Linked DNA regions of Caenorhabditis elegans. The protein of the gene in region 1 interacts with the protein of each later gene in a pairwise test. Each region holds a gene or a part of one and is shown on either strand. Other genes may lie near its edges. The genes, in order: hcp-3 and bath-9.

The links.
Region 2: the proteins of hcp-3 (region 1) and bath-9 interact in a two-hybrid assay, tested with the Caenorhabditis elegans proteins (one large-scale study listed by BioGRID).

What each region holds. Positions count from the first base shown.
Region 1 is NC_003281.10:9,611,960-9,622,017, forward strand, and holds hcp-3 (Histone H3-like centromeric protein hcp-3), read right to left. Parts: upstream 4,512-10,058; 5' UTR 4,495-4,511; coding exon 4,403-4,494; intron 4,352-4,402; coding exon 4,105-4,351; intron 4,057-4,104; coding exon 3,754-4,056; intron 3,702-3,753; coding exon 3,477-3,701; 3' UTR 3,347-3,476; downstream 1-3,346. Other genes in the region: BBSome complex member bbs-4, read right to left, coding at 1-109, 164-232; pri-1 (DNA primase small subunit), read right to left, coding at 388-541, 589-706, 1,086-1,170, 1,223-1,528, 1,577-1,787, 1,916-2,174, 2,221-2,320; F58A4.6 (DUF4807 domain-containing protein), read left to right, coding at 2,532-2,571, 2,620-2,747, 2,797-2,967, 3,011-3,156, 3,205-3,325. UniProt on the Caenorhabditis elegans protein: Histone H3-like variant which exclusively replaces conventional H3 in the nucleosome core of centromeric chromatin at the inner plate of the kinetochore.
Region 2 is NC_003280.10:3,372,009-3,382,513, forward strand, and holds bath-9 (BTB domain-containing protein), read left to right. Parts: upstream 1-5,080; 5' UTR 5,081-5,108; coding exon 5,109-5,212; intron 5,213-5,257; coding exon 5,258-5,636; intron 5,637-6,121; coding exon 6,122-6,269; intron 6,270-6,312; coding exon 6,313-6,464; intron 6,465-6,518; coding exon 6,519-6,641; 3' UTR 6,642-6,826; downstream 6,827-10,505. Other genes in the region: bath-10 (BTB and MATH domain containing), read left to right, coding at 3,145-3,248, 3,304-3,694, 3,740-3,896, 4,287-4,438, 4,491-4,640; Y49F6C.2 (BTB domain-containing protein), read left to right, coding at 6,953-6,993, 7,052-7,334, 7,382-7,504; T06D4.1 (Type VI secretion system protein TssA), read left to right, coding at 9,828-9,920, 9,966-10,226, 10,468-10,505.

The DNA.
Region 1 (10,058 bases):
GACCATTTAATGAGTTACAATCGAGAATTTCCACTCGTTTTGGAGCAGACGGAGCACGTTCTGGTGGAGGTGGTGGAACATCAAGGGATGTTGGTTCAGGTACTACTTCCTGATGAACAGAATTATAAACGAAAAAATGTTTCAAATTATTTCATTAACTCACTTCTGGATTGTCCTGTTCATTTGGAATAACGTCAGTTCCAATAATTTCATCTTGATTACTCGCTTCCATTTTTAATAAGCTATGCACCCTCAATAACTGCCTACGTCTTTCTCCTTGCCGTTGCCATGGAAACTCGCGGACGCCACATGCTATAAAAGGTCTCGAGAAAAAAATTTATTGTTAAAGTAGAAATCATGTTACAGTATAAGAAAAATGAAAGTAATTTATGAAATGCAAGCCGATACAAACTTTTCAAAGTTTTCAACGTAAGGTGCGAGAGCTCCATGCTTGTACGCCAGGAATTTTCGATTCTTCGAATCCTCGTTCTCGTCGTTTCCTCGTTCAGCCAAAAGACTGCTCAACTCTTCCACGACATGACTGAAAGTTTTTGGATAATACTATTAGAGAGACGACTTTTTACTTACTCAATTCGAGGACATTTGCTTACATCGAACTCTTCAATTTTACCGACATTCAGAGGAACTGCAACGTTTCCGGTCTTTGGATGAATGCAGAATGGGGATTTGAGCAAGTGATTTGTTCCTGTAAAATGTGACCGTTTAGTACGAAATCAACGCAGTTTCATCGAAAAATTAGGAAAATAATTATTTTTTGTTCAGAAAGTTTCAATTTTTTGAAATCTGTAGGGTGAGAAATTCTAAGAAAAAAACTATTTTCGAAATAAAGGAAGTTTTCAGTATTTATCGTAATTTCCCAAGATTTTGACATGCCTTCTTAAAGGAGCACGGATTTATTCAGATGGGTCTCGGTGCGCAAAAAGTAATGGTTGTATTTTTTTTTCGCGCCGAGGCCCATCTGAATAAATCTGTGCACTTTCAAGAATGCATGTCGAAATTTTTTGAAATTATACAGTTTCTTTTTGATTTTGAAACTATTTTTAAATATGTAAAAAACATTTCACCTGTAGATACATTAACATCAAGACGTGGATAGCATCGTTGAAGAACAAAGTAGAGAAGATAATTTCGGTCGCGACCTTGCATTTTCTGAAAATTGATTTATCTATTTTCCGACTGTTATCTCAAAGCTTCCACTTACAAAATCGAGAAGACCGTCCTTCGGAGAAAGCGATTTGCGATAGTCGTCATCAAAAAGCCCACGAATCATGTTCCAGCGTTCTTGTGGAGTTTTGTAAGTCTCGGAAAGGCTACGCAAGTCATCTCTGCCTACTTCTGACATAAACTTGTACTCTGTGATAAAATCTTCCTTATCCAGCCATCCCTGGTCATAGATCATCTTCTCGAAAACTCCATCTTTCAATGCAACGTTAAACGCGTCACGCACAATCGGCGGAACTTTCGTCATTTTGGCCCGACCTTCAGTCACCTCACATTGGCCATTTTTCTGTAAAATGAATTTTTTATTCTAATTTGGACAAAGAAGTTCTCGAACCTTGAACAAATTGAGTCTGGTCGCGATTGCAGATCTTTGATAATTGTTCAACATCCTCGCTTTTTTGTCACCGACCCAACAATGTACTCCACGTCTACCAGAGAAGACCCACATTCGTGCTTTGAAATCGAACATATCTTCCAGTTGGAAATCCAAGATTTTAACAGCGAGAACCATGAATTTCCAGCATTTTGGGCAGACGGTGGCATCTCTGAAAAATTAGAAAATCGAAAAGTGGGTTACAGATCATCTTAATAATGCCCTCAAATAACTATCTTTGCTAAATATATCAATATAAAAATAGAGATACGCGGAAACGGGATTTTCGTAAACTCTTACTTGCAACAATTACGAACTGGATCGTAGTCGGTCAAATCGATATCAAAAACCAATTCTCGTTCCACAGCTTGATAATCTGTATGTCTCTTGTTATTAATTGGCTCGTGATTGTAGACAGCTCCAATATCAAGTTTTTCCGGGTTAGTACTTGAAAGTGCTTTGAAAAATGCGTGTTCGTCATTGTAACTACGATATCTGATATGAACGTCATCTGCCAGAATGAATGCGAATTCTCGGCGGTTGAAATAGTCTCCGTTATCTGCAAATTTCAAATTTCGTTAAGAAAATCGAAATTCGAAACTCACTTTGTCCGTAGCGGAGCCATTTTGTGAATGGTTTGACTGGGAAGAAGTTTTTGTAGTATATTGGCAAATCTTGTGGAAGTCTGATGGAGTTATAAGACATTTCTGAAAAGAAAAAAAACTATAAATATTTGGTTCAATTGAAATTCAAGCTAAAAAAAGATGAAATCCTCAAGAAATAGGCACATATGTAGTGCGGTAAACTGGTTTAAATTCCAATTTCGCGGCGTGTACAACAGGGCGCGTTTGCATTATTTTATTTTTCTCTAAAAGACCATTTTCTCTCCATTTCTATACTCATTTTCAGTGTACAAATGAATTCAATAAAACATTCTACGGAAATTCCATCGACCAGTAAGCTGTCAGATAAGCAAATAATTAATTAATATAAAATAATTGCAGGTACCCAATCACTAGTATTCGAATTCACGAATTTGGACGATTTGTACGGATTTTTGAATATTCTCCAGTGTCGTGAAGAATATTCGTTTGCTCAAATACGTGCCTTCTATAATATTCCCGTCGATAAGGTAACTAATTTATCTTCTATTGCCAGAAGTTATTATATTTAAGCTTCAGAAACTTCTTGTCAACATCCAAGTGAAAAATCCGGCACAAAATCTCGATTATGCTTGGGAAAGACGTTTGAAACACCATTTCCGATACATGCTTGATCTCGAAAAGCTCATGTGGAACTTGTCTACTCTAGGTGGCGCTTATTCAGCTATGGGAGATTTCGATGCAAATTATGTAAGTTATCAGTTTACACTTTAGTTTAACGCTAGCTTTTCAGGCGAAAGTCGCTGCAAAAATTACTGCTCATCAAATCAACTTAGCGAAAAAATATGGAGATCCAGTTATTCTTGCACGATGCTACCTGTATACCGCCCTCGCAGAAGCACAACTCGGAAATCTCTCGCATGCTGTTAATATTGTTAGGTTGGATTCTTGAAAGTAGAAAAGGCTTATTTACGTGGTCAATTTCAGAGCAATTTATCACTGGGCCAAACAGAATCCGAACACGGATATTGTACAAAGATGCTGCGAAGGAGTCTATCAGAAGCTTCGAGCTATTCATATTTTCGGAAAAGCTAGTTCGAACAAGTGATTAAATAAAATGTTCTCATTTACAAGTAATGAATCTTTATTATTTGACAAATAGTAAACGTGTTCACGGTACACAAAAGATCAAACAGCGCTAAAATTGATGAGATAAATATGGCTTGAAGATCGAAAAATGAGTATTGCAAATATTGTTATCAGAGATGTCGAAGGCAGAGACGTCTGTATAACTGAATATCCGTTGTCATGAGTGTGACACGTTTCGCATGGGTGGATATAAGAGACGATCCTTCGAACATTTCGACCAAAAATGCTTCCGCCGCTTCTTGAAGAGCACTGATGGCGTCAGAACGAATACGGCAGTCGGCGCCAAATGGAGTGGAAGTCTGCATAATTTCGCGGACGAGGCGTGCGAACGGAGCCTGAAATTTGGAATTGTTTTAATATAGTTTAAATAAAGTAAAAATTGTATACCTTTTGAATCAGAAGGTCTTCAGTTTTTTGGTACTTGCGGATCTCTTCCAATGCCTTCTGGCCCGGTCTATAACGTCTCGTTTTGGTGACTCTGTTCCTTCCGGCTCTCATCCGCACGCGATCGGAGCTCGATGGGCCAGTTCTATTACCACGATCGGGGTTCGATGGGCCAGCTCTATTTCCATCGCCATTTGTTCCATCCATAGAATAGTTTTCTTCGTCGGAGCTATCGTGTCGACGGTATGAGGGCATATGATGACGGCCGTGGGAGTAATCGACAAGATTCGTGGAATTTCTGCCGACCTGAAATAAATTTTATGTTGTTTGAAATCATACAAAATTGAAACTAACCGTGAAATCCATAGACGAAGCTCTTCTCCGAGCTTGCTCTTTTCGCGCGTGATATTCGTCTTCGGCTTGCTTCAACTTCAAGACATATTGATTCCGTTTGCCTGTGACCAATCGAATTTTGTGGATGTGCGCTTCAGTGTAGTCGTTGGCTGCATCATCCTCAAGCTCCTTCTTATACTGGTTCAGAATGTCGATCAAATCGTTGACACCTGCGGCGCTTGTGTTGAATCCCGGCACTGAAGTGACTCTGAAACAGCAGACATTAATTTGTAGCACGAAAACAAAAATCATCACTTACCTTTGCATGTCATGTTTGAGACGTTGCATGATCCTTGTGACGCTCTCATTTTGCTCGGCGATTTCCTCAATAATTGGGGTGTCATCGGCCATTGTTCGAAGATTATCCTGATAAAATATAAAATTTAGAAAACTGAAGCTAAATTAAGACGATTTGTTTGAAGGTTAAAAAGGAATTAAAGAAGCAATAAATGCGAACGCAGTTTAAATAAGTAACGATTGGCGGCGAGAGACGCAGGGAAATACGCAGACGACATCACGCTAAAGTGCACACAAAACAACATAAATGACGGACTCAACCCCGGGGGTCGCCTAATTAATCAATATTTGGGTCTTATAAAAATTTAGTTCAGCTGATTGAACAATTGTGTTGTTTTTTTCGAAAAAAAAACGATTCTTCATAAATATTCCATCAAAACTTCACGAAACTTGGACTGCCTTGGGCTGTGTCTCGCATACAGCGATAATATATAATATGAGATTAGCTGTATAATTTTTTATCGAGATAACTTTGGAAAGTGCAGTGAAAAAACAAATATTCGCCGGAGAAGACAATGATTCGGTGTTTTTCACGACACTCTGGAGCTTTAACACACAAAAATGTAAAAATAGTCTGATACAAAAAGGAAAAAAAAAGAAAAAAAATCAAAATAATTCCTAATTTTAGGTGACAATAATCTGAGAGTCACCATCAACAGACAAAAGAAAATTCTAGAAAAGAAAAACCAAATTTTCGCGCTTCCGCGCGCTTTGAAAAACTAAAATGTGCAAGTAACACGAGAGATGCGCCAGCAACTTCCGCTTGCGCGGAAGGCGATTATTCAAGCAGGTCTAGAAATAATAATTAGAGCTAATATTCTCTTATAATCGAAGAACGCTTAAAACTTCGCTGCAAAAAAATTATAATAAATTTATATTTGGACCTGGTAATCCAGTGTTCGATAAGCCGAGTCTACTGCAATGACATAGCACAAGTTTTCAATTCGAATCACGTGGTCTCATGAGACGTCTCATAACTGATCTATAGTTTTAAATAGGATTTTTTATATATGATATTAAAAAAATTCAAAAAATTTTTCGGCCGGAAAAGTGTGCCTGCTAACCGAGTGACAATGGTTGGAAACTACGTCTCAATTACCGCTTTTTTCCATGTTTTTTCCCATCAAAACAGCGAAAAATCGAAAAATGAAACACTTGATCCTGACACCAAGTGATTCAGGAAAGGCTCGTAACTAGCAAACCTATTTTATTTCGATGAGCTTTCCGAAGCTTGTTGAAAACATATAAGCCAACTTTTATAATTTTAAAATACCAAAAAAGTCTAAAATGCCAAAAAATTCGGCTAATCGCTCTGTTTGAATTTGAATTCCCTCCAAAACAAGAACTGCAATACCAATTAGCAAATTGCTCCGCACACTTTTCCACCAATCAGACAAAAAGGGCGGAGTCCGGAAACGCTGATTGGTTTCTTTCTTTATTTTTTATTTCTTTTCAAATACCATTATCCCGATAGAACGATAGACATGACATGTTTTGCAAAGTTAATACTAAACTTGTTTCCAAAAAAAAGTGTACGTGTTCCGTGTTGATTCATTTTCCTTTCCAATTCTGTGTCTTTAGAATTTTCAAAACACCAACACACACACACACACGGAAACCTCTTCAATATCACTTTTGCAGTATTGTCTCTCTCTTTTCTACATTCTGCCCAAAAAAAGATTGAACACATGAAGAAATATTCGCGACGACGAATGGGGTGACAAACTGTGTAAGAATACTATCACAATGATGCGTAAAATGCTTTCGTGACGTCTGTCACTAAACAATTGAATTTTATGAGCGCGTCGAGATGTTCTCAGTGAAAGGAAACATTTTTAGGTGTACATAATTGGCACAGAAATCATAAGGAAAAAAATCGAAAAAAAAACCAAAACTGCAGCTGAATGAATTTGAATTCTTGAATTTCAAAACCTACGGAGTCGGTCAATATTCTATTCGTTCACGGTTTTACAGTGATTTGCTTGAGCTGTTCGAATAACTCAAAAGATATGTTAGCAAAATATTTTCAACTGACCAGATGTTGCAAATTACTTTTTCTACATTTTTATTTATGTCAAAATTATTATATAACTCTATTTCGGATCAAGTTACAGCAGCTGAGGTCCTCCTCAGACTTTCATAATTCATGTTTCATGCTTCGTATACTTTTTCCTGATCAATTTTTTACACAACAATAAATTGCAAAATGTAGGCATTTTTATGGAAAACATTTTCATATTAAACTTTGTTCCATGAAAACACCCAGTTTCAAAGTTGTGGTCTATTTAGAAATTCGATTCAAGAACTTGCCCGCCGGATGTCAGCAGCTTCAACTATTTTCAAAATAGAGTTTTATAAATTTGACATTAATATATATGTAGACCAGATAATTTGGAACATTTAGGTAGTTTAATGTATATTGCTAGCTATTATACATAGTTATTGAGTTATAAGTGTTTGAACAACTCAAGCACACCAGGCAATTAATTCATGGTGCATCACAAAAACGGCCATTCATAAGGCGCAAATTGCAAAAATTTTCGAGTCGCGGTGTATGCATCGTGCTTCCACAAAGCCAATACTGTGTAGTTCCTGATGGACATCTTGCAAATTATCTATGATCTAGTGACCAATATTCCCATCTGTTTGATTCGAACATCCTTCACCAATCCTCTTCCACATCCTGGCGCCAACTCAACCTCGAAGATCATCCGACCAAAAACACATGTCGATGGCATCCCGACCCCGTCGGTGCCCATCCACGTGCCCATCGTTTCTCTCGTTTCCTCCTCTCCGAAAGCCTGATGATCGTCGAACGAGTGCGTCAGAGACGCAGAGATATGTTCGGCGCTTCGCCTCCTTTTTTGCGACGAGAGCTACAGAGAAACGAAGAAATAGGAAAAGTATAGAGAAATTGTGAGATATAGAGAGATAGTGAACATGAGAGAGTAAGCAATAGAGAGAGAGAAGGAGGCGCCCGCTCCCTCAACCCCTAAGACCATTGAGGCGCTGCTGCTGGCCTTTAACATTTATGTGAGTGTGTGTGTGTGAGTGTGGTGTGTTTCTCGTCAGCTCCTTCTTCTCTTTTCCATCTCTTTTTTTTCCAATTTCTCCCTTTCTCATCTCAACCCCATGTTGCCTGTGTTGCTGCAGCAAACCGATCAGTCCACCACCACCACCGCTGTCTTCGTCGTCGTCGCCGCCGCGAAAAACTTTTTTCTCCCAAATGATTCGGAGCGTCGTCCCCCCCCAGCCCAGTCAGCCAGTCAGTCAGCCTGTGTATATGTCTATTTGTCTCGCAGTCTCTCTTCGCGCCCGGCTCCCCCATCTCTCGTCCCGCCGACGAACGTATTTCGATCGTCTCGTTTTTTCGGTTGTGTACCCCAATATCTAAATCTAGTCGCGATTGAACACCTGACCTATTCTGTCAAATCACACACACCCTTGCGTCTGTGACGACATTTATTTGCAACATGTTTCATATTGAATTCCATATGGTAAGAGTTCCATTTTTTTGATCAACAAGTTTCCTCTTGTTTGGAAAAATCTATGAAAAAGTTAATAATATTAATATAGTACCCATTATTACGAGTATTCAGGTGAACCCTCTTTCCATTTGACCTCCAAAAATTGCGGGAGTAGAAAACAGTAAGTCCCCACAATTTTAGAGGGGGTCTACCTCTATGATCTTACTGTACTCGACCATCATATCGTTCTTCCTAGATTTCTGATTTTCTGCCTCAAGTTTGTTATGATTCCATATGTTGTTATGTTTCTTTTTATCTTTTAGCTTTCTTTGTCTTCCCCCCGATAAATTATTTTATCTCTTATCTCACTCACTGTCTGGCTCGCGCCTACCGTATCATCGGAAACGAGCGTTTACGTTTGCCCCTTCGCTAGACAAGGTCTCGAAACGAAACGAGACGCGAACTGCAAACTTTTCTCCGTCTGTTTCTCCGTTGCGTCCAAATCTTCTTAAATCACTCTCTCCCTCTCTCACTCCACTCACAGCTGTTTGTGACCCCAACCAACAAAACTGGGGGCCGCGCCATCAGGTGTTTTCCCCATCCATCCATCTGTCTCTAATTCTCAGGATCCCTTCAGAAAATGTTTCTTGGATCGGTTGATGGGGAAGATCGCAACAAAATCCCTTAACCTTTATTTTGAATGATAACAGATCATTACCGTCCGAATAGTTCTCGATGTCGTTTTGTTCAGTGTCTTTCTCTTTTACTACGCCTTTGAACTGATCTCTTTGCCGATTTTGGTGATGTTTTGTGATCTTATAAGAACTATAGTGAGTATGACTATGAAAAATTGTTCCCAACCTTTAACGCGGTTTCAACTAAATCTTGACCAAGTTTTTCCGAAGTTTTGCCAAAACTATGGACGAACTTTATATGTATGTTATACACAAAAATTTAGGCAGGAAATTGCCTCCAAAAATTGAGAAATCTTCCTCTGAAATCTCCAATATTTTCACGATTAGACTCTATTAACCTATGTTCTATTAAGTATTTCATAAATCTACTACCAAATGTTTTCTAACTTTAGATACTTTGCGTGTTGCTCTATGTGCCCAGCTGTTCTCCCATAAATGCCAAACTTGACCAACTAGATCATCCCGTACACTTGCACACTACAGCTGATCAAACTTTTGTTTCTTTTTTAGTTTTATGATTATTATGTGAGAAGTAACTAACTTTTCGTAATTACCAAGAATTCTTAAACTAACTGGTCAACTGCTTTTTGTTGACTTGTCAATGGGTTCCAGGGAGCCCTCATTGTAAAAAACATATGGTAAGTGCAATTGGCTATCGTCTATAAGCTCAAGGAAGTTGGAACCAATTTTTTGTTGATATTTTTTTCTGTTTTGTCTTCTCCATTCCGTTTGAGAATCAGTTTGTGTGTTCATCGCTCTCTCGTTTCTCCGATAAATCGCTAATCAACATTTTTTCTCGGTTTTTTAAGAAAGTAGAAAGATCAAAACATCAAGAGCTCATATTTCATTTCTTGGGGTGAAATCTTGAAATCTAGCCTTAAATTCTTTTTTTTTTCTTTCTTTTTTTTTTTTTAAGACCGATTTATTCTTGGTTCTTCATATTTTATCAAGAGAGAATCTGAGCAAGTCCGTTTGTAACTTTTGAAAGACGTTTTGTGATTCTGCAAATTTATAGAGAACTGATTGTTATTAAAACATGGACTCTGTCGGCTTCACGAGATAAGCTCATCGTCAGTTAAAAATAATTTCATTACAAGAAACTTTCGGTTTCTAATTCCAATTTTGGCAATGTTCTGATGTTTCGATTACTCCCAAACTCTGATCATTCAAATTAGTATCATGAAACATTTTAAGTAAAAGTTGTTGCATTAAACACCTGAAAATGGATCACCTGTTCTTTCCCTCTCATTTTTTCAATTATAAACCCTTCAGTTTTTCTATTTTCTATACATTTAAAACCTATTTCATCTGCTACACTGAAACTGCCCTCTTCCTCACGCCTTTTTCATTTAATTTACATATACATTGGTACCTACCGTATGAAATAGACGAACTGCCCGATTTTGAATTATAAGTCGGTGTGTTTCGACCCTCGATTGCTTCCTCTTTCCCCTCA
Region 2 (10,505 bases), on another chromosome or scaffold:
TGGCTTTTGTGATTCGGAAATGCGAAGAGTGTTTGCTCGACAAATCGGACAGACCCAGTAGGTGTATATTCAAGATTGCGAAGCAGTATCAATTGGAATTTAAAGGTAAGGATCATAACAGATCTTGGGAAATTTAATTAATTTGTTTAGAAATCATGTCTATCGAGAATCAAAACAATCGATGAGATCAGAGCGGCGATGATATGCAATGCAGCTGAAATGGATCCAACTGTGCTGGCGGCTCTTCTCGAAAAGGCTGTGGATCTTCAGTGATCCTTCATGATATCAAACTATTCATTTTCTTGTTTGCTTTTGAATAAAATAATACGTTCCCCATAAGAACTTGTTCAAGCTGTAATGAGAAACACACCTGAGTTTCTCACGCTTATACTTACTTTACTTGTGTATTGCATGCCCTCATTTAAAAATGTTTTTTTTAAGTTGCGAATCATAACAGCTTGGAGTTTTTAGAGACATTTTTTATGAGACGGAAACGCTTAAAACCGTGCTGTTTTTAAATTTTTCCCCGTTTTTTCTAGATATTTGAATTTTTGAAGTTTCCAAAAAAAATGTGCAAAACCACAATTTTGCACATTTTTATTAACCGAAAATTGTCGGCAATTGCCGTTTCATTGGCGAATTCGGCAAATCGGCAATTTACCGGTTTGCCTATTTTTCAAAAGTTTCCAACTTCGGAAATTTGACAATTTGCCCATTTACCGAACAAATCGTTTGCCGCCCACCCCTGCCCTACATTACGTTAACGTTCCTTTTCCTTTTTCTTTTCATTATTAAAAAAAACCACAGAGAATAAACTTACAAATCAATGGTGCAGATGCTATCTCATAGGAAGAAGAACGGTCAACTAAAAAAATTGAATGCAAACAACGAAGATTGATTGAAGGTGGAGCAGACTTGTTTTGAAGTTTTCTTTTTAAGTGGTAAACTTGCCTGAAACGATAATTTGAAGAGTGTTCGAAAGCTGGAACACACATCCCGAAGAAATGATTATTAGCTATCTTGAACATCCCAGACATATCACGGACTTTCAATCAGTTTTTTAAATTGAAGCATGTATGTTCGCACTCCACTCAGAAATTAACCGTATATTTTCAAGCTTCTTTCCAAATCCCTGGCAGAAATAACAAAAATCAAAATTTGTGCATGATGATTTATTGAAGGAAAAAAGATGGTTGATGGCAATACCGCATTAAAAACCTCCACATAAAAAAACCAATCAATTAGATTGGTCTTTACAAAAAAGGGTGCACAAGTTGTATGAGAGAATAAATGAATGAATAAAGATGAAGTATAATAAGATATTATGGTTTTGGATATTAGGATATTTTGTGGCTAATGAGAATGTGTAGGGTTAACAAAAATCAATATTAGGTTATTAGGAGAGAACAATTTGAGAGTAATGCAAATGTTTAGGGATAATATTAGGATTAGGATTTGAGGATTAAGAATAAATATTAGGCTATTAGGACAATAAGAGTGTGAGGGTTATGAGAAAGGGTGAAGAAAATCAATATTAAGTTATTTGGTTATCATGAATATAAGGATTTTTTTGAAATAATTTTTAAATTTTAATTTTTTTTTTGAATTTTTTTTACTTTTTCAGATTTTTTTTGTGTTTTTGGGGTTATTAATGAGATTACTTATTGTTGGAAATAGTTGTTATAGTCAGCTGTTTTCCCGCGACGGCAACTTTTCCTATTCTTTTGAAGTTGCTCCAAATTGTATGTTGTGGCCAGTCTTCATTCGGGCGAAAAATTATTTTAAAAATCAGCTTGTGACATTTGACGCCTTTGAAAAGCTGCTTTGTCCTCAAAGCATGATAGGTTCCGGGTTGAAAAAAATGTTTTCAGTCGGCTCTTTTCACTATTTCATCCAAATGACTGAGAAACTTTTTTCGGCTGGGCTCGAAGTGGCTTCAGTATCTGTAATTTTAAAATTTCCATAAATTCTCAAAAACTCTCAAACTCACTTCATCATACTGGAAAAATTGCAAGAATTAGTGAAAATTTAGAAAATAAATCGAAAATCAATAAAAAAGAAGAGGGGGACACCCATTCAGTAGGGCGTCTAGTAGGAAGAATGAAGTGAAGAGAAAAAGGGAACGACTGAGAGATCGAGAGGCAGTGGAGGGTCGAGACATTGTGTAGGAAGACGGAAGTGAGTCGAGACACCACTTCAAAAGAGAAATCTGCATCTAGAATTGTATAAAATTGTCTAAAACTTTTTGTTGCAAAATGCTCGAAATGGACTTTTAAAAATTAATATTTATTTGAAACCTTTTTTGATAGTTCTGAAAAATACTTTAGCTGAAAGTCGGGTAAGGTTGTTTTAAAAATTTGGAATTAAAGGTGGTGTAGTCGAATTTTTTTACTGCCTTATTAGACTCAAAATTGTCTGAAAACACCGAATTTTATAATGAAAATTCTTGAAAACTTCTTTAAAAAAAGTTATAACGGCTCAAAAAATAGCCTAAAATTAGTTAAAATCGGAAATTTGACCAACTTATCAATGTCGCAGCGGCTGGAAACAATTTTTTTTGAAATCACCGTCAAATTTTAAGTATACAAGTTGATTACCGTGCGTTTTAAACTTGATTAAGGTATTTAAAAGTCGATGGACGGCGAGATTTTTAATTTTTTAAACCAAAACTCGCCGTCCATCGACTTTTAAATACCTAAATGAAGTTTAAAACGCGAGATAATCAACTTGTATACTTAAAATTTTACGGTGATTTCAAAAAAAATTGTTTCCAGCCGCTCCGACACTGACAAGTTGGTCAAATTTCCGATTTTAACTAATTTTATGTCATTTTTTGAGCCGTCATAACTTTTTTCTGAAAAGATTTCAAGAAGTTTCATTATGAAATTCGGTGTTTTCAGACAATTTTGAGTCTAATGAGGTAATAAAAAAATTCGACTACACCATCTTTAAGTGTTCAGGGATTTTCAGGAGGTGCTATAAAAATTGGACTGCCTGTGAAAGACTTTTAGGGACCACTCATATATTTGTCGTTAGGGGTCAAGACCACCCAGTCTCCCCCCGTCTCTCATTGCCCCTTCTCTCATTTTGTCTTCACGGTGGCCATTTGTCTACTCTCTTTATTGATTCTTACATTGTAAAAGAATGGCAAAGGAATTCCAACTCACCCATATTTTTAAGAAAGTATCCGAATTTAAAGATGGCGAATGTAGATGTGGACCCCTAGAAGAACACTTCAATGTTGAATGGTTAGTTTTCACCAATTATAAGATACATTTAATAAATTTCAAATGTCGTATTCAGGTTACTTTATATAAATCGGAAAGATGATGAATTGGCAGTATTTCTGGGTTGCAATAGTTTACAAGGAACTGAAGAAACAACACTGTCAATTTATGTGGAATTAAAGTTTACACTCAAGAATTCAATTGGCACACGAGTAACGAAAATCGCTAAATGTCTGTTATCAAATAAGAGTACTGAAAGTGATTTCGGACTTAATAAGTTTATTGGTTGGGAGACATTGTTGAAGGACTACCTGATTGATGACAGTATCATTATCGAAGCAAAAATCAAGATCACTAAGATGACTGGATTTCCGAGAAAAGAGCTCAGAAGCTTTGATGAATCAAGTGAGGAGTATTCCGATATGATTATTGCCGTTGGGGATAGAAAGTTCTATGTTCTCAAACAGGTAGCTCTAGTCTCTGAATATTCCAACTATTTGAGTACTTTTCAGCTCCTCGCTTCAAACTCTACACACTTTCAATCTCTTATTCCCCTGGACTTTGAAGAAATGGACTGTGAAGGAAAATCGGAGATCACCCTGCCAGATATCAACCCCTCCGATTTTCAGTGTCTCCTGGAGGTTCTGTACGGAGAGCCTGCTATGGATGGTAAGAAAACTATAGCAATTTAAACAATTTAATACAATTTAATCTGAAAAATATTTTAAACATTGGGGGGGGGGGGGGGGGGAAATTACGAAGCTATCAAGTTTATTTGTTTAAATAAATATTAGTATTTGAATTTAATTTTGCATTGACAACTAGCTTAGGCTCAGGCTTAGTCTGAGACCAAGGCTTAGGCTGGACGGGGACAATTCCATCTCAGTAAGATTCAAAACACTTCCAAAATATTTCCAAACATTTTCAAAATTGTGTCAACTATAACTACAATGCTCCTACAGTAATCCTAGCCCACTTCATTCTCAAAATCTATAAACTGATTTTTTTTCTGAAACTACAGTAACCATATAGTAGATAACACTATTGTTAATATTTCAGACGAGAACGTTGAAGGGATTCTTCATTCGGCTCACATGTACAAAATGACAAAAGTAATTCGGAACTGTGAAGAGTTTCTTTCCAACAAATCTGAAAAACCCATGAGGGATAAGTTCAAAATTGCAAAGCAATACCAACTGGAGAGTTTGAAGGTTAGAATTCATATATTTTTTAAAAACTATTTTAATACATTTTTTTTTTCAGAAATCATGTCTCTCAAAAATCCAAACAATCCAAGACATCAAGTCAGCAATGGCAGGGGATCTATCTGACATGGATGCAACTGTAGTGGCGGCTCTTCTCGAAAAATCGGTGACTATTGAACCGCCTTCGAAAAATGGACGACCGTATTAATTTGAAATTGTTTTTTTTGTGGTTATACTGTATTTTTCACTTATTCAATAAATTCCAAAATATTGGTGAAATTGTAAAAAACTCTACAGATAAAAGTGAGCTATAGAAATTGGACGGACTGTAGTAGAAAACTGTATTTCCAATCAAGACCCTAATGATGTAAGACGGCACCTTTCGGGACCATTCACTGCCTACATATTTGTCGTTGACAGGGGTCAAGACCACCCAGTCTCCCCCGTCTCTCACCACCCCTTTCTCTCATTTTGTCTTCACGGTGGTCAGCTGGATGGCTGTTCACTCTTTTGCTTCTATTGATTTTTTGAAAAAAGTAACTTTATTATTGGTGTATTAGGTTTTGAAAAATGGATAGCGGGTTGTAATAATCAGTTGTGAAAAATAATAAATTGCGAGAACTGCTACTTTTTTTATAATTAATATTTCAATTTCAGTAGCAAGACTTCGCCCAGAATGGTAAAGGAAATAGGACTCACTCATATATTCAAGAATGTATCAGAATTGGAAAAAGGCAAATATTTTCATAGTCCCGCAGAAGAACACTTCAATGTTCGATGGTAAGTCTTTTCTAAGTTAATATAAATATACAATTTTTTGTTCAGGAATATCAAAATTGCTCGGAAAAATGAAAACATCGGAGTTTATCTGTGTTGCCAGAGATTGAAAGACATCGGAGAAGGCGCATGGTCCGTGGATACCGAATATAGACTAACAGTCAAGAATTCAATTGGTAAACGTCTTAGGAACAAGGCTAGGACTAAATTTGTGCCAAATTCGAATGAATGGGGATGGGAGTTCAGTTGGGAGACATTGATCAAGGATTATCTCATTGATGATAGTATCATTGTTGAAGCAGAGGTCAAGATCAGAAAGATGACTGGGATTCCTAGGAAGCTGCTCAGTAGCTTTGAGCAGTCAGATGACGTCTTTTCTGATGTGGTTCTAGCGGTTTACGACAAGAAGTTCTTTGTTCTCAAAAAGGTATGTTTCAGGGATGGGCGGCAATTGCCTTCCGGCAAATCGGCAAATTGCCGGTTAGACAGTTTGCCGGGAATTTTCATTTCCGGCAAATTGTCGATTTTCCGTTTTCCAAAACTGAATTTGCCGGGAGTTTTTAGAGAGATTTTTTATAAGACGGAAACGCTTAAAACTGTGCTTTTATGAAATTTTCCCCCTTATTTTCTAGTTATTTTCATAGAACTTGCTTACTTTTCAAAATAGATGTAGGAATATTCATTGGATGCGTAGGACTTTTGCCGATTAAAATTGAAACTTCGAAATTTCCAAAAAGTGTTATATTAGAGATCAGCCCTAACTTGGCTTTTCGGCTACATCTGGCCGAATTAACCACTGTTCTAAAACGCCGAAATCTCTGAAATCCGGCACAACAAGTTATGCGTCATGACACACTTTTAGTGCCGAACTGTTCAAAATTAGCCAAAAAATTCATTTAATGTGTGTTTCAGTTCCTCGCCACTCACTCATCATACTTCAAAACTCTATTTCTCGGAAAATTCGATGAACCAGAAAAAGCTGAAATCGCGCTCACCGACATCAATGCTGCCGATTTTCAGTGTCTTCTAGAGGTTCTGTACGGAGAACCTGCTATTGAGGGTAAAGAAAAAGGTTTTTATTCTAGAAAAAAAGTTAATTTTAGACGAGAACGTTGAGGGAATTCTACACTTGGCTCACATGTACAAGATGGCCGTGGTGATTGAGAAATGTGTGGAGTTTCTATCCGATAAATCTGAGAAACTCGGGAGAGATAAGTTCAGAATTGCAAAGCAATATCAACTGGATAATTTGAAGGTTAGAATCAAGATTTTAAAATTCTTTTAAATTCCAATAAAACAATTTTTTCAGAAATCGTGCCTATCAAAAATCAATACAATCACTGAGATCAAATCAGCAATGGCAGGGGATCTATCTGACATGGATCCAACTGTAGTGGCGGCTCTTCTCGAAAAATCAGTGGCTCTTCATTAACTAGTAATTTTACGAAGCACATAAGTTATGTAAATTTGTATGCTTTACTTATTGTATCATAAAAAAGTTTGTTTCATTTTCAAGGCTTGCCATGCTACTTCTTCTTCTGAGATGACTTTGAACCAATTTTTGAGCGACTTTTTGAAACTTTTGAGCAAAAGTATAATAATTTCCAAAAAGTACAAATATTTCTCTATATTTCTACATAAATTTTCAAAACAAAACTTCGACTCAACAAGGAGAAATAGGGGATGTTTTAAATATGTCGAAAAAATGTGTCACACATATCTGCTGGCTACCATATTCCGAAGATGCCAAATGATTTCAAAACAAAAATTAAAAAACCATTATTGTAAGACGGTTTTTACATAATTAATCATTCTAAAACACATTGATATCTGTAGTTTCAGAAAAATTACATGCAATTTTCTAAAATTATTGATTTTTGCTTATAAGATCCTCCAAATTCAACATTTTCGCTTCAAATTTCGACTAAGCATTGTACATTTTGGTCCTCTATTTAGTTTTGAAAGAATTTTTGAAAAATGTTGGCTCATCTCCAAAATCGTCCTGACTGTAAGAGACATGCCTTTTGCGATTCGGAAATGTGAGGAATTTCTGGTTGAGAAATATGAAAGGCCCAAGCGAGATATACTCAATATTGCAAAGCAATATCAACTTGAGAACTTGAAGGTAAGGATCACAACGGATCGTGTAAATCTAAATTGAATATTTTTCAGAAACTATGTCTTGCAAAAATCAATACGATTGATGAAATCAAGGCGGCAATGGCAGGTAATCTATCTGACATGGAGCCAACAGTGCTGGCGGCTCTTCTCGAAAAATCGGTGGCTCTAAAATAACCATTCAAATTTAATTTCTGAATAAAATAATTGTTTTTTACCACTTTCAAGTACATATATTCCATATAATTGTTACAATCTTTCTCCAAATTTCCAAAAAAAAAATCACAGGTTAATCACTGAGTTTTGGCATTTTTGGTTTTTCTTGACTTTTCTTTAGTACTTGATGTGAAACATCGTTTGAAAATTTTAAGGCTAAATTTGAAGTTCCTGCAAATTTCCTTCGGGCTGTCAAGTTTTCTCTGCGGAAAAATGACTGTAAATTTGAAAAAATATATTTCAAAAATTCGAATATCAGGGAAAATTCAGGTTATCGAATTTCAATTTTTTGCCATGTGTTTGACTTGCCTATTGTATGCCTACATACCTAATGTATGCCTACGTGCCTACTGCATGCTGGCATGCCTACTACATGCCTACTGCATACCTACATGAACACCGCATGACTACTTGGCTACGTGCCTACTTAAGTTTCTACTGCATTTCTCCCTTTTTTTTTGGAAATCGGGAAATTCTATGTATTTCTGAAACGCATAATTTTGTGGCCAGAGGTTCTTCCTTCACTCTTGGGAAGACTTATTGACGCTGCGTCATCTGCAACTACGGATCGATAACATTCGACTACCAGCTGACTACCAGCTCAGCCATTTCTCAGCTCATTCTCTCTCCTCCAAGACTACTCGTTTGCCTTTTATTGATTTTTTAAGAAACTCCTTTACTGCTTTTTTATCCAATTTGTTTGAAATATTTCTAACTCTATAATTTCAGCAGGACAATGAATTCCGCTAAAAAGGAATTTGAGATTTCACACATTTTCACAGATGTATCAAAATTGGAAAACGGTAATTTTCTATTAAGCCCTGAAGAAGATCACTTCAATGTTCCATGGTAAATAGGTTTTATTTTACTAAAATGAATATAAAATGAACATTCAGGGACTTGCAACTTTATCGAGAAGATGATCATTTAGATGTGTACCTCCGTTGTACGAAATTGACGGAAAATGATGAAATTTGTGCAATTGATACGGAATTCGAATTAACTCTTAAAACTTCAAATGGGAAACAAATGAGTCGTAGGGTCAAAGTTGACTTTACACTTGAAAACATCATGATACCCGCATGGAGATGGTCTAAGGTTGTTAGTTGGGAGACATTGTTGAAGGAATACCTAATTGATGATAGTATCATTGTGGAAGCAGCCGTCATGATCAAAGCGATGACTGGGATCCCTAGGATGAAGCTTAGAAGCTTCGAGAAGTCGGCTCAGGAGTATTCTGATGCGATTATAGCAATTGGAGATGAAAAGTTCTACGTTCTCAAGAAGGTATTTGCATTTTTTGCTTTTGAATTTCAATTTTAAATGCTTTTCAGTTTCTCGCTGCTCACTCAACTTACTTCAAGGATCTCCTCTTCGGAGACTTCGACTTCGAACAAGCTGAAAATTCAGAAATCACACTCTCCGATATCAATTCTACCGATTTTCAGTGTCTCCTGGAGGTTCTATACGGAGAACCTGCTATTGATGGTAAAACTGAAAACATGTGAAAGTTCAAATTTTCTATTTTTTCTAGAAGAGAACATTGACGGAATCCTCAAATTGGCTCAGAAGTACAATATGCCCCTGCGATTCGGAGATGTGAAGAGTTCCTAATCAAAATTTCTGAAAGATCAATCAGGGAAAAGTTAAAGATTGCAAAGCAATACCAACTGGATAACTTGAAGGTAAGGATCATAGCTGAGCCTCCAATCCTAATCAGTCTGTTTAGAAATCATGTCTGTCGAAAATCAATATAATGGATGAGATCAAAGCGGCAATGGCATGCAATGTTGCTGAAATGGATCCAACTGTGCTGGCGCCTCTTCTCCAGAAATCGGTGGCTCTTAAATAATTTTTCTAAATTTCTTTTTGAATCAAAAGCACAGACACTGGGATTATGTTAATAAAATTTTCATTGTTAATGCTTGCATAATTATTTCCCGGATTTGCCCAGAAAATTTCGAACCGAACGGGGCAAATCTCACTCTGTTATGAGCCTTTGTTGAGTTGTTGAAGTTAAGGAACGCTGAGCGTTAACGCCGGAGCAAACACATAGGGTGACCAGGAAGAGTGTCGGCTGCTAGTACAATTTTTCTATGTATTATCTTTTTCTAGGCTAGTCTAGTTGAGTTTTGACCTACCAGGTTTTTTTGACCTACCCGGCGCCGAATTTTGTTTTCTTGTGTTTCCTTGGACTCTCACTGGATTTTTGTTCTTTCCCCTCATTTTTCGTCAAGCTTTCCTAGTTTTTTCTCGATTTCATCATCAAATTATTGATTTTTAGATGTCCGACGACCCGAATACCACTCAGGAACGGGCGATGGAAGGCCCATCGGAAAATCAAGCTGCTCGGCAACTAGAGGGCAACCAAGAAGAGGTAACATTTAACAATTTTTCTATTTCATAAATTCCCATTTTTCAGGCACAACGCCAACCAAAAGAAGAGCAAGCTGATCGAGAAGAAGCCAAGGGAGAAGAAGAAGCTCCACAGGTGGCCGCTGCTCTACCCATACCGGACAGCCCATTTCTTACCGAATTGGCCAGGCTTCTACGAGGATCCCTGCGACCATATCTCAACACAGAACCTGATGAAGTCATTGAAGCTGCGAGGCAGGATCACCAACTCGATCAAGAAGTTGCCAATGAGAACTTGTTACAGTATATCTGTAGGACGCTGGTGGAGGTATGTGTTGGGAGAAGATCCATCTAGCCCAATTTTTTTATAGTCGCCGCTGTTGCCCGAAAGTTGCCCAAGAGTTGCCCGATAGTTGCTCGATAGTTGCCCGTTGAAGCCCGCCAATTGCCCGCTGCTGGCCTTTTTTTGCTAGTTGACATCCGCTCCTTGCCTGGTTGAAAATACCTTTTGCAGGGGGTTTCCTGAGTTTCAGCGCTTCAATTTACGTTCCTAACCAATCGTATTTCAGAGCAACGATATGGGTAAACTCGCCGAGATCAGGGAACT